Danio rerio: one gene and its partner. The protein of the gene in region 1 binds, or shares a complex with, the protein of each later gene. Links are inferred from orthologs where the notes say so. Each region holds a gene or a part of one and is shown on either strand. Other genes may lie near its edges.

Region 1 (7,071 bases):
GAAACTTTCAGGCACTTTTATTACAGAGGTTAAAGTGTAAAACGCCTGCTTTAAGTAACAATTTTAAAATGAAACAAATGAATTTACACCTAAAATATAAATTAATAAATAGAGTTGAGTGCCTTAAAAGTCTTAAATTCCTTGAAAAATACTGTATTTTGATGAACCCCATTACATTGAACTAATTAGCTCAGTATTAAGGAAAATAAATTGAAATCAAATGGGATCAGCATTTGCAGTTACTAATTTAAAACCAGGTTGTAAAGGTTTTAGAGAGACAAGACGCAAGGAAGATTCAAGAATGTACATTTATATAAATATCCACACTTTTATTTTTATTAATGCAATTCAACCACAAAAATGACTCCACTGTTTATTCAGTTGCTGCATTCAGACTGGCTGTAGACTTTAGCTCCTGTGAATGAGAGTGAAGAAGAAAGTTCAAGTATATATATATATACACACATATACATACATATATACATACATAAATACATACATATAAATACACACACACACACACACACACACACACACACACACACACATACATACATATATATATACATACACACTGGGGTAAATAAGTATTCAACAAGTTCCCATTTTTCTCAGAAAACATATTTCTAAAGGTGCTATTGACCTGAAAACCAAAGAAAAAATATATATGAATAGAAAACAAATCTAATTACTTTACAAATTGTTATCAACATCTGGTGAAAATTTCAAGTCAACAGCACCTTTATAAATATGTTTTCTGAGAAAAATGGAAATGTGTTGAATATTCAATTCAATTTCAATTAATTTTATCTTTATTTCTAAAGCACTTTTACAATGTAGATTGTGTCAAAGCAGCTTAACATTTATTAAATTCAGTTCAGTTCAGTGTGGTTTAGTATTCACTGCTGAAAGTCCAAACACTAAAAAAAGCAAATCCACTGTTGAGTTAACATATATACCAGTAACAAAAAGGCTCTTTGAGCATTGTGCAAAATTAACCATATTCTGACCTGTAATGATAATCTTTACCAGAAAGAAAGACCTGCTCAGCATCATCCAAAGACCAGCTCCTCAAGACACCCAGAGGATGTACGATGGCCTTTGAAAAAAAAATCATTAAATATGAACTAAAATACCACCACAGAACAGCAAATCATTTTACATGGATTCATAAATGAGTAGCACCCAGCATGCAGTTTATATACTTATTTGGCCAGACATTCCTCTGGAAAATGAACACCACAGATAATCTGCACTTCATCATAGATATGCTATAAACTCAAGAACACAGCTAGCATTTGTAACTGTATTTATAAACTGCTTATCAATGTCTATTAAATGTAGAGTTAATGCTAAACAAATAAAATATTAATAAATTAACTAGTTATTAAATGCTTAATAATTATTTATTTATAGTATGCAGATGTTATAAAGTGTTACTCAACAGTTTGAGATAACCTCAATGAAAATATTCCTGTAGTTTGTTTTCTTTTCCTCCTACAATGAGCCTAAGCAATCCAATCATATTGGCCATCACTTCTTTTTCGCCAGGTAAAACATACCTGATATAAATTAAAGATATGAGACTCTATATGGTTAAGACCTGCAGAATAAGCCTAACTTTCAGAATCTCATTCATCACTGTAAAACGATGACAAAACATCAGGCTAATAACACATACAGTATTGTGGGGCAAACAGGCAGTCAGCACAATTTTTAATGTGCTAATGTAATACAACGAATAACACGAATTCAGTAAAATATAGATAAATCTAAAACTCTTACATCAAACGTGCTTTTACCATCTTAGTTTAATGCATGTCACTAAGCACATTAGCCGTTAAGTCAACAAGCCATTAAATCAACAATGTTTCATTAAACCATGGTCACGAGTTACGAACGACGTATAATCAAACTAGAAAACGAACTCTAGAAAATTATTAACAGTTATAGCAGCTCTCACTCTGGCTGTGTAAAATTATCCATATTTATTATTATAATATTTTATTCTTCTTCTGGAAAAAAAATCGTCACGTAACATTTTTGTCCCAGACCCTTAAAAGTGGGGTAAATCATGCAGGCTAATCTGGCATTTCTGCATAAACTCACAGTATAAAACAGCAGCATTACAAAATAAACACATACTTTAACAGTTTAAAATAAAACTTAATAGAAAAATCGGTACTTACACTTTCCTTGTCATCCGTGTCGTCCATTAGCGCATCCATGATCCAATCCGACAGGTAACGCTGTCACAAAAAACTAGGGTCCTAAAGATGCGGTCCTAAAAATGCGGTCCTGAGAGTGCAGCCACTCCAGTTGTGCAGGATTACCCTTCTCATCGTCAGCGCAAGCGCGACGTCTCTTCACACCTCGCGAGACTCTACCTCAGCTCTGAACGCCTGTGCTCTTCAATTCTCGCGATACTAGTTTCAAGTCTCACCGGTGGTTCTCTGTCTGTTTGCGGCTCGCGGAGAAGAAGATGGCGGCGCGGAGTGGTTTTCAGCCTTCGACACCCGGTGGCGGCGGAGCCCCGATGGGACCCGGGCCGCCGGTAGCCGGAGCAGGACCCGGTATGGGTCCCGGTACACCCTCAGGAAGGATGGGACCAGGCGGCCCGCAGAACCACATGTACCGATCACCGATGCCCGGTTACCCGGTAAGGCGCGAGGAGAACAAAGAAGCAGCCGCGCATAAACCGAGGGCTTTAGTTTTAAAGTCTGAACGCAGAATTTGCTCGTTTATTTAAAGCGTCAACATTGAATCCGTTTAAAATGGTTTCTATAGTGTTAAATTGAGAATATACTCTATTATTATGCTCGACTGTGGTTGCGTTGCTTACCGTTTGGTTCAATGCTAAGCGTCAAACTTTATTTCAGTAAACCAGAAATTAGATTATTTGTTTGTGTTTCACTTGAGAATGACTTGAGGAATATTAACCTGCAGTTGGTTTTGATGGTGTAAACAGAGTTTCTGCGGAAGCTCTGTGTGTAACCGCGCGGCCTACAGGAGCATCATGATGATGGCTTTGGTTGCTTTGATGACCAGTGTTTATATGCTAATTTGATGTATTCTGTGCATTACATGAGAGCAAGTCTTTGCCTAAATTACATCTGCTTTGCATATAGTTTGCTACTTAATGATTTAAGAATATGGTTTAAATGTAAAAAGTATAAACATTTAATTTCCCTAGTTTACATAGAGGTAAAGTTGGTTTTATATTCGCACAGTGGTTCATTTAGAAGTATCTGTATTGTTTACCATGTGACTCTGAATATTCGATCGGAATTAGCATAACGTTACATGTGTGACTTGAAAACAACATTAACACTTAATTGACTGTGAACAATGATTGATAGTCATTGGCTGCTAATATGTTTTTGCAATTTAGAATTTGCAAATAATACTTTTATGAAATGATATTATTAAAGGGGAAGTCTGAATGTGCGAATAAAACCAACTTTACCTCTGTCCTGTTTATTAACGTTAGACTAACAAACGTATGTTTTCGTATTGAGGTATAGTTAGCAGGGTTCATACAGTCCTGGAAAAGTCATGAAATTTCAAAAAGGCCTTCTCCGGGCCTGGAAAAGTTTTGGAAAAACACATAAACCCAGAATGTTTTGGAAAAATCATGAAAATTTGCTCAACAATTACGTGTACTTGAGTATATTTGAGATTAACTTGACTGGTACTTGACACTATATTTCATGGGAAGACTTAAAAAAAATGAAATGGGTAAAAAAAAAAAAAACTATAATAAATAACTTCAAAAATCAAAAGCAGTTTATTGGGGTAAAGTTGGTTATGTTTAAACCTTTAGACTTTGTCCTCTATAATATTATTTTACAAAAAATGTTCTTTGTAAATTCTAAATAGTGAAATCATGTTTGCAGCCAAAGACTATCAAAGTACAAAATTGTTCACGTTCAAATAAATATTGCTAATGTTGTTTTCAAGCAGACACATATGGCATTTCAGACTTAATATTCAAAGTGCTATGGTAACCAATATAGGGAGCATGTCACAAGTTGTTGCTGAATTAATGTGTGAATATAAAACCAACTTTACCCCAAAAAGCAGTTATAGCTTCACCTCGCTTTTACCGTAATTCAAGATGCATTTTGAGTTTCGTGTCAAGAAATATTTAACTCCAAAGGTAAAATATTGTGGGTGCTAAAGGCTAATTTGTACTAATTTAAAGTCTTGTGAAAACACATGCCAACATTATTGAATTTTCATGCAGACAGTAAGATAATTTCTAAAAACTATTTTACAGATATGAATATAAACTACATGAATTGTCACATTTTTTTGATATGCTGCAAATTGGAAGGTGCATTTTTTTTACTTATTTACCACATGTATATAGACCAGGGGTAGGGAATCTATAGCTCGGGAGCCACATGTGGCTCTGTAAACAAAAATATGTGGCTATCCAGCTATCTCTTTTCAGTAATATTTCAAAAATTTTAATTACTAGAAATCAGTTTTCTATTGAAAATACAATTACAATTTTCCTTATATTGTATTTTCTACATCAAAATGAATAAGAACTGTTAGCAATAAAAGGACGTTTCAACCAATGTGCATAGCATACGTGGTGCTGTGGTTTTACTTGAATCGCGACAACAATAAAAGGCAAGTTATATTTGTTACATTTCTATGGTAACTTACATTTCATTGGTAACCTCATGCACGTAAATTCAAACATTCGGGTGGCGATGGCAAAAAAAAGAAAAATTTACATTGGCCTTTCTTCGTATATTGTGATTTGCCATATTTGTTTTTATTTTTGAGTTATGCATGGACATAAATAAAGGTTTTGTGTATAAATATATAAAGGTTTTGTCATACACACAACCCATATGGCTTTTTAAAAAATGCATTTGATTAAAAAAAAATCTGAAATCGCTCTTTGCTGAAAAAAGGTTCCTGACACCTGATATAGACATTGCATTAAACACGAAACAACATCATGAATATTTACCTTAGTTTTGAAAAAGTCATGAAATTTTAGTCGTAAAATTGTGAATGAACCCCGAGTTGGTTTTATACTTCCACATTCGTTCATTTTAACAGTCCTCATATTGTTTACCACGCTATGCATATTCTGTCTGAAATTGCATACAAGTATGACTACAAAACAACATTAGCACTTCTTAATCAACTGAACATTTGTACTTTAAAAGAGATGGGCTGCTAATAGGATTTCACTATTCAGTATTTGCAAAGAATACTTTTCTGAAATTATTGAGAAAGTCAGAATATGAATATAAAACTAACTTTACCTCAATTGTTTTATTAGCTAATAAATAAGATTGGGAAAATAATCATATTCTGTAGGCATGGGATAACCGTTTTCAAGGTTTACTGCGGTTTGGAAAAGTCAAGGTTTTAAAACCGCTAAAATGTTTTTTTAACACCATTCCTAAAGTATTTGTAAAAAAATGTATTTTGTTTTTTATGACGACAGTATCTCCAGCAGAAAAAAAATCCATAGAATTTTTAAATTGTAAAGAAATCTGTGTTTTTGAAACTAATAAAGACAGCAGAAGTCAATTATTCATTTGGATTATTCATTCAGCCTGACATGTTTATGCTCAAAATATTATAAATCTTTCAAAAAATAAAATATAATGTTTTCAAATGGGGACTTTTTTTTTGTTTTTTTTAACCCAGGCATTTAAGAAGAACATATTTTAGAGCAGTAATCACAATACCGTGATACAGTGATATTTTTATCCAAGGTTATCATACTGTCAGAATCTTATACCAGCCCATGCCTATACTGTTGCTTGACATGAGATGTTTCTAAGTTTCAGTGACCGTCTGCACCAACATTCAGATGATCAGCAGCACTTGTTTTCTTAGTGATGAACACAACTGTTTGTGTGCTGATTTGTGACTAAATATCTGAGTTGTTCCAGGATTTAAAAATGAATGAGCAATCCCAGCATTATGGATGTGACATTTGCTGTAAAAACTAAAAACATAAATTCACAGAGAAATTATACGTTAACGTTATATTGAAATGTCTGTTTATATTTTCCAAAACAACTAACCACAGAGTTAAGAGATCAGAAAAATATTATTCTGTAAACATGTTTTGTACTTTAAATAAGGAAAATAAACATGCATTATGGATGTGACCAAAAAAGTCTGCGAGTTTACAGTATACAACATGCTTTTTAGAAATTCTGTGAATTAAACTGCAATACCCAAAATAAATAATGCTCATCAAATGGATGAGTTGCTCACTATAGAACAAAAATGATTGAGTTTATTTAATTTGACATTTTTGCATTTATGAGGGAAGAGCTTGGTTATGGATGTGACAAATATGAAATTGCCACTTGTATGACTTTGGTAATTTAAATGTAATAGTTGGAAAACATTGACTCTTGAAAACACAAGACATTTTTGAGCATTTTTAAATGACTTTAAAATACTTCCTTACACAAAAAAAAAACATAAAAAGTGGTTTTCCTGTATTGGTGAAAACTTATTTTTTCAATGGCAAGGTTGACGTTTGTATAGAATTGCTCAAATGTCAAACTCCACATTGCACAAAATATGTGGAGAATCTGTGGCCTCATCTTGCCTTCAAGGATGAATTAGGTCGCAGTTTGTGCTTGTGTACATCCTTCAGTGAAGCCTTGATTTCATTACTCTTCCATTTAGCAGGAAAACATTGGTATTTCATGTTCGTCCACAAGATATTTGTTTTGCATTCTCCTGTTGTTTGGACTGAGATTCAAGGGTATTTGCTGGTTCATTTAAAGTAATAGAGTTGAGGAATGATATAAGCATCTTTCTTTATAATTGATTTCGATTATTGTCTTAAAATGGATTGCTTGTGCTCTTTTTAAATGCCATTTTACAACATGACTAGATTTGAACATTCAGATCTTGATTTTTGCAATTAGAGGGGAACCAGAACAACACAACGTTTACCACAATTACATCATTAAAAAAAAACAAAGTATTACATTTTGTTTTGTCCGCCATTCAGGCAGTTGTTATTGAAGAATTATTTCCGACAGGCCTATCAGCAGCTTAATGCAAAGT
Region 2 (6,809 bases), on another chromosome or scaffold:
CGACTGACCTCCACGTGGCATCTGCTGCACAACAAAACACAATGCAAAAACACTGTTCCCATTTACTAGGCAGTGAAAGTAGAGACGACTGACTGACTTGTGTTGTGGTGTAGTTAAAACAACCCGTGTGTGTGTCCGACTCCTCCTCCTACTGCTCACTTTAAAATTCATGATGTCAGGTCTGAATTAGAGTTGCACAAAATGTCGGAAAATAATCGTTAGCGCGATAATTGTTCACTGTGAAACAAATGGTGGGTTCCACACACTCGATTTGTGCTGAAACAACATGAAGAAATTGAGTTAGCTTATTAGTTTCTACAAATTTAAGGGGGTAGAACATAAAACAATTAAGTTGTGCCTTAAAAAAAGTTGAGAATTGGGTAAATGCAGAGCTAGTGTTTCTTCCAATACTGATAAACTTCCGGTGAACGGTTAATGTGACTTTCAATTTTATACGGTTCCTTTTACAGCATTGATGTTGTATTGTTATTCAAATATAATCCGTTAAATAGACTTCATCGTTCAATAAGTTGCTGAAGTGTAAAATGAGATGAAAAGCCGTTTACTCACTCGGCCGTCCAGCCTGATCTCACGAGGAAATGTAAGCATTTTACGTTTTGTCATTTTAGTGGCTAATTCGTACAAATTCAAACGTAGTTCAGTTGTATGAAAATGTACGATTTTAAAAAGGAGGCGTTGCAAGTAACCCCACCCCTAACCCCAAACGTCATTGGGTGTTAAGCGAATCGTACTAAATTGTAGGAATCGGATCGCACAAATTCATATGAATTAGCCACTTAAGCGAAAAGTTACGAATTGCCGTGAGATCGCTTTGGGCCGTCAGGATCAGCAGGCTAGGGCAGAAACGCCATTGTAAATACTGAAGTAAAATAAATGTAAATATTTTAAAAACATGGTACAGGAAAATGTAATTTAATGCATTGATTCTTGTACAATCTGAAACCCACTTTATATCATAAATCATTTAGGCAGTGAAGTTTATTGATTTTTAAAAACAGACATTACAAGGGCCGATTTTGTAAGTGCATACAGTTCCCCGGATGTGTTTGACTCGGGTTACTGACAAATTAAAAGTCCTTCTGCATGCTTTTGCATATACCCTATTGTGTTGTATCAGCTCATTTTAAATAAGTAGTTTGTACAAACAGCAAACGTAATTTTTTTGAGTGCATGTGAGTGTCTATGCAATATTCTTATTACTGTTTATATGGTTTTTTCTATCTTAGGGATGCACTTAAATGAAAGTTCTGGACTGAGACGAAATCTCCGGATGCACTTGGTAAGAAAACCGAGACTGAAAACACTTTGTAATAATTATTTAATATTTAAATAACCCTAAATCATACCTTATACTGCAGCCCTTAAAGGGATAGTTCACACAAGACTGACAATCCTGTCATCATTTTGATACTTGAGTTTCGTTCTTCTGTTTTAAATTATGGAGTTAGACTTGAAAAGAACTGAACCTTGTCGTTTTTGGCATGTTTGCTCAAGTGCCAAACTTATAAACAGTGGTTTTGAACCACTTATATGCAATAAACTATTAAAGTAATCTGTTGGCGCCAATAGCCTACTGTAGGGGTGGCCAACCATGTTCCTGGAGAGCCACCTTCCTGCAGATTTCAGTTGCTACCCATATCAAACACACCTGCCTATAATTATTACGTGGTGTTCAGATCCTAATTAATTGGTTCAGGTGTGTTTGATATGGGTCGCATCTGAAATCTGTAGGAAGGTGGCTCTCCAGGAACAGGGTTGGCCACCCCTGGCCTAGTGGTTAGGTGCGCTGACATACAGTGCTCAGAACAGTTTTGAAAACAAACATTTTTATTAATTTCTCAGTGAATGTTGGCAATGTATTTTAGTGCATTTAAACAAAACAGATTTATTAAACAGATATATTTATTAAAATAATATTTTAGTCACCAAACATATTTAGAAATTGAAAGATAACAATTAAATTCAAGTAAAAAAATTACAATCTACAAAATTTCAACCATTTTTTTTAATTTTATCGCTTCTCTTGATTTTTCCTCTTTTTAAAATTTGTATTCAATATTTTTCTATTACATAAATTTGTGTGTACTAGTTTTTGGACCGTTATCGTAAGTTATTTTGTTAGATTAGCTCCAGATTTAGCTTCAGTACTGACTAATCTAATGTATATGCACAAATATAAAATTGTATAGCTTCCTATTAAAAATATGAATATAAAAGAGAGATTTGTGAGGGATGTACTTAAAAATGCTGAGCACTGTATAGCACCGTGGTGCTCACAGCGACCCGAGTTCGATATCCGGCTCGAGGTCCTTTGCCGACCCTTCCCTTTTCTCTGCTCCCAATACTTTCCTGTCTGTAACCTCCACGGTCCTTTCTAATTAAAGGTGAAAAACCTCTAAAAATAATTATAGAAAGTAAATAAATAAATAAAATAATTTACAAGGTGCTGTTCTGCTTTAGTCTAGAAGCTGAACTTAAAGCTAAAAATAAACACTAATAATGGGACTCGAGGAAGATGCCTACAGCCAGTAAGAGTCAAGAATATCTGCCCGGGTATTCATTCATTCATTCCTTCATAGCATCTAAATGTTCGTATCCCAACAGTTTTTAGATCATAAAAAAATTTTTAGATCAGAAAAATATCCATTACTACCCGTTTACTGAAGTATGATCATTACATAAATAAATTAGTACAAAAAAAGCTAATAAAAAAAAGCTTTTCTTTTGAAATGTTGATAAATATCACTATCACAACGTCAAGAGAACTAGTAAAGACGGAAGTAAGCAATGCTTGACAAAAAAAGGTTTCAAATTTATTTAACAAATCAATAAAAAAGCATAATCAACAGAGAAACAGGCGTGTAAAAAATCAGCTACAAAATAACAGATTAATGCGACATACAAAACACATACAGACTTATTCAAATAATAGAAAAATATGAATAAATCAAAAGCATGGTCTAAAATTGGGTCCATTTTTTGCAAGTTATTTGGCCTTTTTTGGTGTTTTTGTTTGTCCTTTCTTCTGAGGTGTTGAAATGTCTTTGCTGCATAAATCGCAGACCCAGCAACCTGTACAAAATAAAAATGCAAACAGAAATATATTATATGAAATAAAACAATAATAGTTCCATCACACTTCTATGTTCAACAAAAGATTTCGTAGGAAAGCATGAGGATGTTTCTTTTGTTAAAAGTTCTCCACAAGTTTAAGCTGATTAAAAATAAAAAAATATTATATTATATTATGTTTTTGGTCTCATAAAGCTACAATCTCAGTACACAGCCATATGAGCGCAAGACCGGTTCTTACTGAAGCTAAGCAGGGCTGAGCCTGGTCAGTACCTGAATGGGAGACCACATAAGAAATACTAGGTTGCTGTTAGAAGTGATGTTTGTGATGACAACAGGGCGCGCTCAACCTGCGGTCTGTGTGACTTTTAATGCCTCAGTATAGTGAAAGAAAAACTCTATTGACCTTATTCTAAAATGCGGAAGTGCGCCTGTTTTCAGGATTGTTTTAGAACTTCCGATTCAGTCGCCTATGGGAGAAATGACGTTTAGGAATAATAAACGTCAGAAAACGGTCAAACTACTTGCTCTAAAAACAAATGTTTGCATGACTATACAGACCAAGTAGAATAATATAATAAGAAAATATCAGTTTGCAACATCAAACATCAAAACGAGCAGTTTTTAATGTCTAAAAATGAATGGAAGTGAATGAGACCGGAAGTCTCGAGCCAAAAAGATTCAAATGGCTGCGCCCGCTTGTTGGCGAAGAATAAGGTGAATACTGTCACTGAGCGATGTCTTTCGGATGAGACGTTAAACCACTAAAGCGGATGCTGCACACTGGTGGTGGTAAGGAGAGACCCCTCCCCCCCCATAATAATTATTATTATTATAATTATTATTATATGTTACTAACCTTAACATCTGCATCATCATTTATACAAGTGATTTCATATTTAAAGAATTATAAATCCTAAACGCAGACAAAAATCCTATTTTAACATTTTAATTAAGTTTTAATAATGTCAATTTGTGTAAAAATGTAAACACTATACACACAGTTGACGTCAGAATCATTAGTCCTCCTGAATATTTTTCCCAATTTCTGTTTAACAGTAAGAAGATTTTTTTCCAACACATTTCTAACGGACAGCACATTATTTTACTAGATTTTTTCAAGATACTAGTTTTCAGCTTAAAGTGACATGTAGGGCCCTATCATACACGCGGCGCAATGTGGCGCAAGGTGCGGCGCAATACTCTTTTGCTACTTTTAGCTCAGCGCAAGGGTCATTTTGAGGTGTTGCGCCACACCGTTTAAATAGCAAATGCATTTGCGCTCAAATGTGCACCCATAGGCATTCTGGTCTAAAAAAGCAGGCGTGTTTTGGCGCGTTGCTATTTTGAGAAACTGTAAATAGTCTGATCTTAAGACCAGAACAAAGTCGGTCTATTGTCTGGCGCAAAGTGCGCCTGGCTTACACACTACACACAAGATGCAGAGCAATACGCAAATATCTTTACATATGAAAAATATATAATATCTTAAGGATATATACAGGATATAAATATCAATGATTAAAATATTACAAAACATATTAATTTCTAGCCTACATGAATTTAAAAACCACTGCCTTCATACTTTCTTCATCTCGGGAGGCTTTTTCAGTTCATTCAATTTTCTTTTGTATAATGTTATTATTATTAGCAGTATTATTTATTATATCCATATTTATATTTGTTTTATTAAAAACAAGCTTAGATTTGTCCACCTGTCAAATTTTAGACCATATGGGGCACAGCAGGTGTATTTGGAAATAACTCAGGTTTTTGAGCACACTTTGTTATTGTTGTTCATTTATTCGTTTGCTGGAAATTAAAACTGAATTTAGAAATAGTTTTGAAACAAATCTTTGCGCTTAACAAACGAAATTAATAATTTATAGGCTAATTAATGTCTGTGCGTAAAGGTTTCCCTATCCACGAGAGCAAAAGAGAAAGTGAACTTACTTTACGTCAAAATGCGCTTATGGCGCGACGCAGCTGGCTCTTTAAGGTAATGTGAGATGAGGCTCTAATTGGTTTATTCTCAAAACACACCTATAACTCATTAAGAAAATAAGCTCAACCCTTTTAGACCATGCACCATGGCGCAAAGTGGATTTTCCCGTCCTTAAATTAGCAAAAATGCATTCTGACACGCCCTGAAAGCGTTTGCGCCCTGCGTTTTGCGCTCTGCGCATGAACCGTCAAAATAGAGCCCTTAAAGGTAACTAGTGACATAACTAGGTTAACTAGGCAAATAATTGTATAATGATGGTTTGTTCTAGACAACTCTAGGTTTTTCGAATGGTTTTTAAAAAAAATAATAACTGCTTTTATTCTAGCTTTAATGTATTTTTATTTATGTGTTCCTAAATCTGAGAGGAAGATCTTAAGTAGAGACTCACCCATAGGAATGGAGTCCATGCCCACACAGAAAGTGTGAAAGCCTCGATCACACTTATCACAGAACATCATCTCCTCCTCATGATGGGGCTGCTGACACACGGTGCACGTCTTACACTCCATACACTGCCACGGGTACATCTTGATCTTGGCCACCAGATCCACACTCATGTCCAAGCAGGACGGGTGACCTGAGCACAAACAAGGCCATCATAACCATCACCATCACCATCACCATCACCATCATCATCATCATCATCATCATCATTAGCCATTCACACAAAAACGTATCTTTTCCAGCAAGCAGAAACTTAAGAAATGATACACGAGAACTTTTTTTTTTTATCAACAGGATGATGAAAAGGCTTTAAAAACAGAGTGCTGTATATATTAAAATGCGTGTAAAATCAAAATGTATTCAAAAATCTAAAACATATTCGAAATCAAAAGGTAAATCAAAATGTAAACAATTTGCTAACGCACATTTTTATTTTTAAATAAACAATTAACGTACGCAAGGTAATCCATTGAAAAAAGTTTATTGGTAATCATCTGAGCACTTGCTTGTGTTTGAACTGTGTTTGATGATGTCAGTTTGATGGTTCGGCCACAGTATTCTTAACCACGCCCCTCTCACCATTAGTTTTCTATGAGGGAATGATGCGCAAAAAGAAAGCCCCGCACCCTACTCAATATTCCGTTTAAGTCAGAAACACAAGTGTATAAAACGGATTAAAACACTCAAAAAGCATACACAAAAAATATCACACTTCATAGTAAGGTTCTATTTGTTAACGTTAAACGTATTTACGAACATGAACGCAGAATACTTGCATGGCATTTATTAATCACAGTTCAACATTCACTGATGCATTATTAAAACCCAAAATTTAAAATACAAAGATTAATTACCACTGTAATAAACTGTTCATGTTAGTAGATCATTATTACACGGCAGTTTGGAATACTCAATTCTGATTAGTCAGTCGCTGCATCCCAAGGCATGCTATTCCCAGATAACAACCACTTAAACTAATAACACAGGCTCATCTAGGTACTTCAAATCATCTTGACTGTCAGTGAATGCGTTTACCTCCATATTTATATGCTTGTCTGTCTCTGGCGCCATTTTGCGACAAGATAATACGTAGGTTAGTGTATGCTCCATTCAGCCGTTTTCGTTTCTGTCAGCTTTGCTTTTATTTAAAGAATTATTCAACTCATGTTTCAAAACAGTTCTGTCCAATTTGTACATATTGTGAAATGTCGCCATGAAATAAATGGGATAAACTATATCCTGTTGCATGATTTTCGCAGATTAAAGC

What was found. Proteins that work in one complex are often made in the same cells at the same time.
Region 2: smarcd1 (region 1) and phf10 share a complex: the UniProt entries of both Homo sapiens proteins name them as parts of the neural progenitors-specific chromatin remodeling complex. The link is inferred for Danio rerio from reciprocal best matches to the Homo sapiens genes SMARCD1 and PHF10.

What each region holds. Positions count from the first base shown.
Region 1 is NC_133197.1:7,412,380-7,419,450, reverse strand, and holds the start of smarcd1 (SWI/SNF-related matrix-associated actin-dependent regulator of chromatin subfamily D member 1), read left to right. Parts: upstream 1-2,455; 5' UTR 2,456-2,482; coding exon 2,483-2,659; intron 2,660-7,071. UniProt on the Homo sapiens protein: Involved in transcriptional activation and repression of select genes by chromatin remodeling (alteration of DNA-nucleosome topology).
Region 2 is NC_133188.1:6,028,913-6,035,721, reverse strand, and holds the end of phf10 (PHD finger protein 10), read right to left. Parts: intron 5,676-6,809; coding exon 5,487-5,675; intron 3,094-5,486; coding exon 3,008-3,093; 3' UTR 2,817-3,007; downstream 1-2,816. UniProt on the Homo sapiens protein: Involved in transcription activity regulation by chromatin remodeling. Belongs to the neural progenitors-specific chromatin remodeling complex (npBAF complex) and is required for the proliferation of neural progenitors.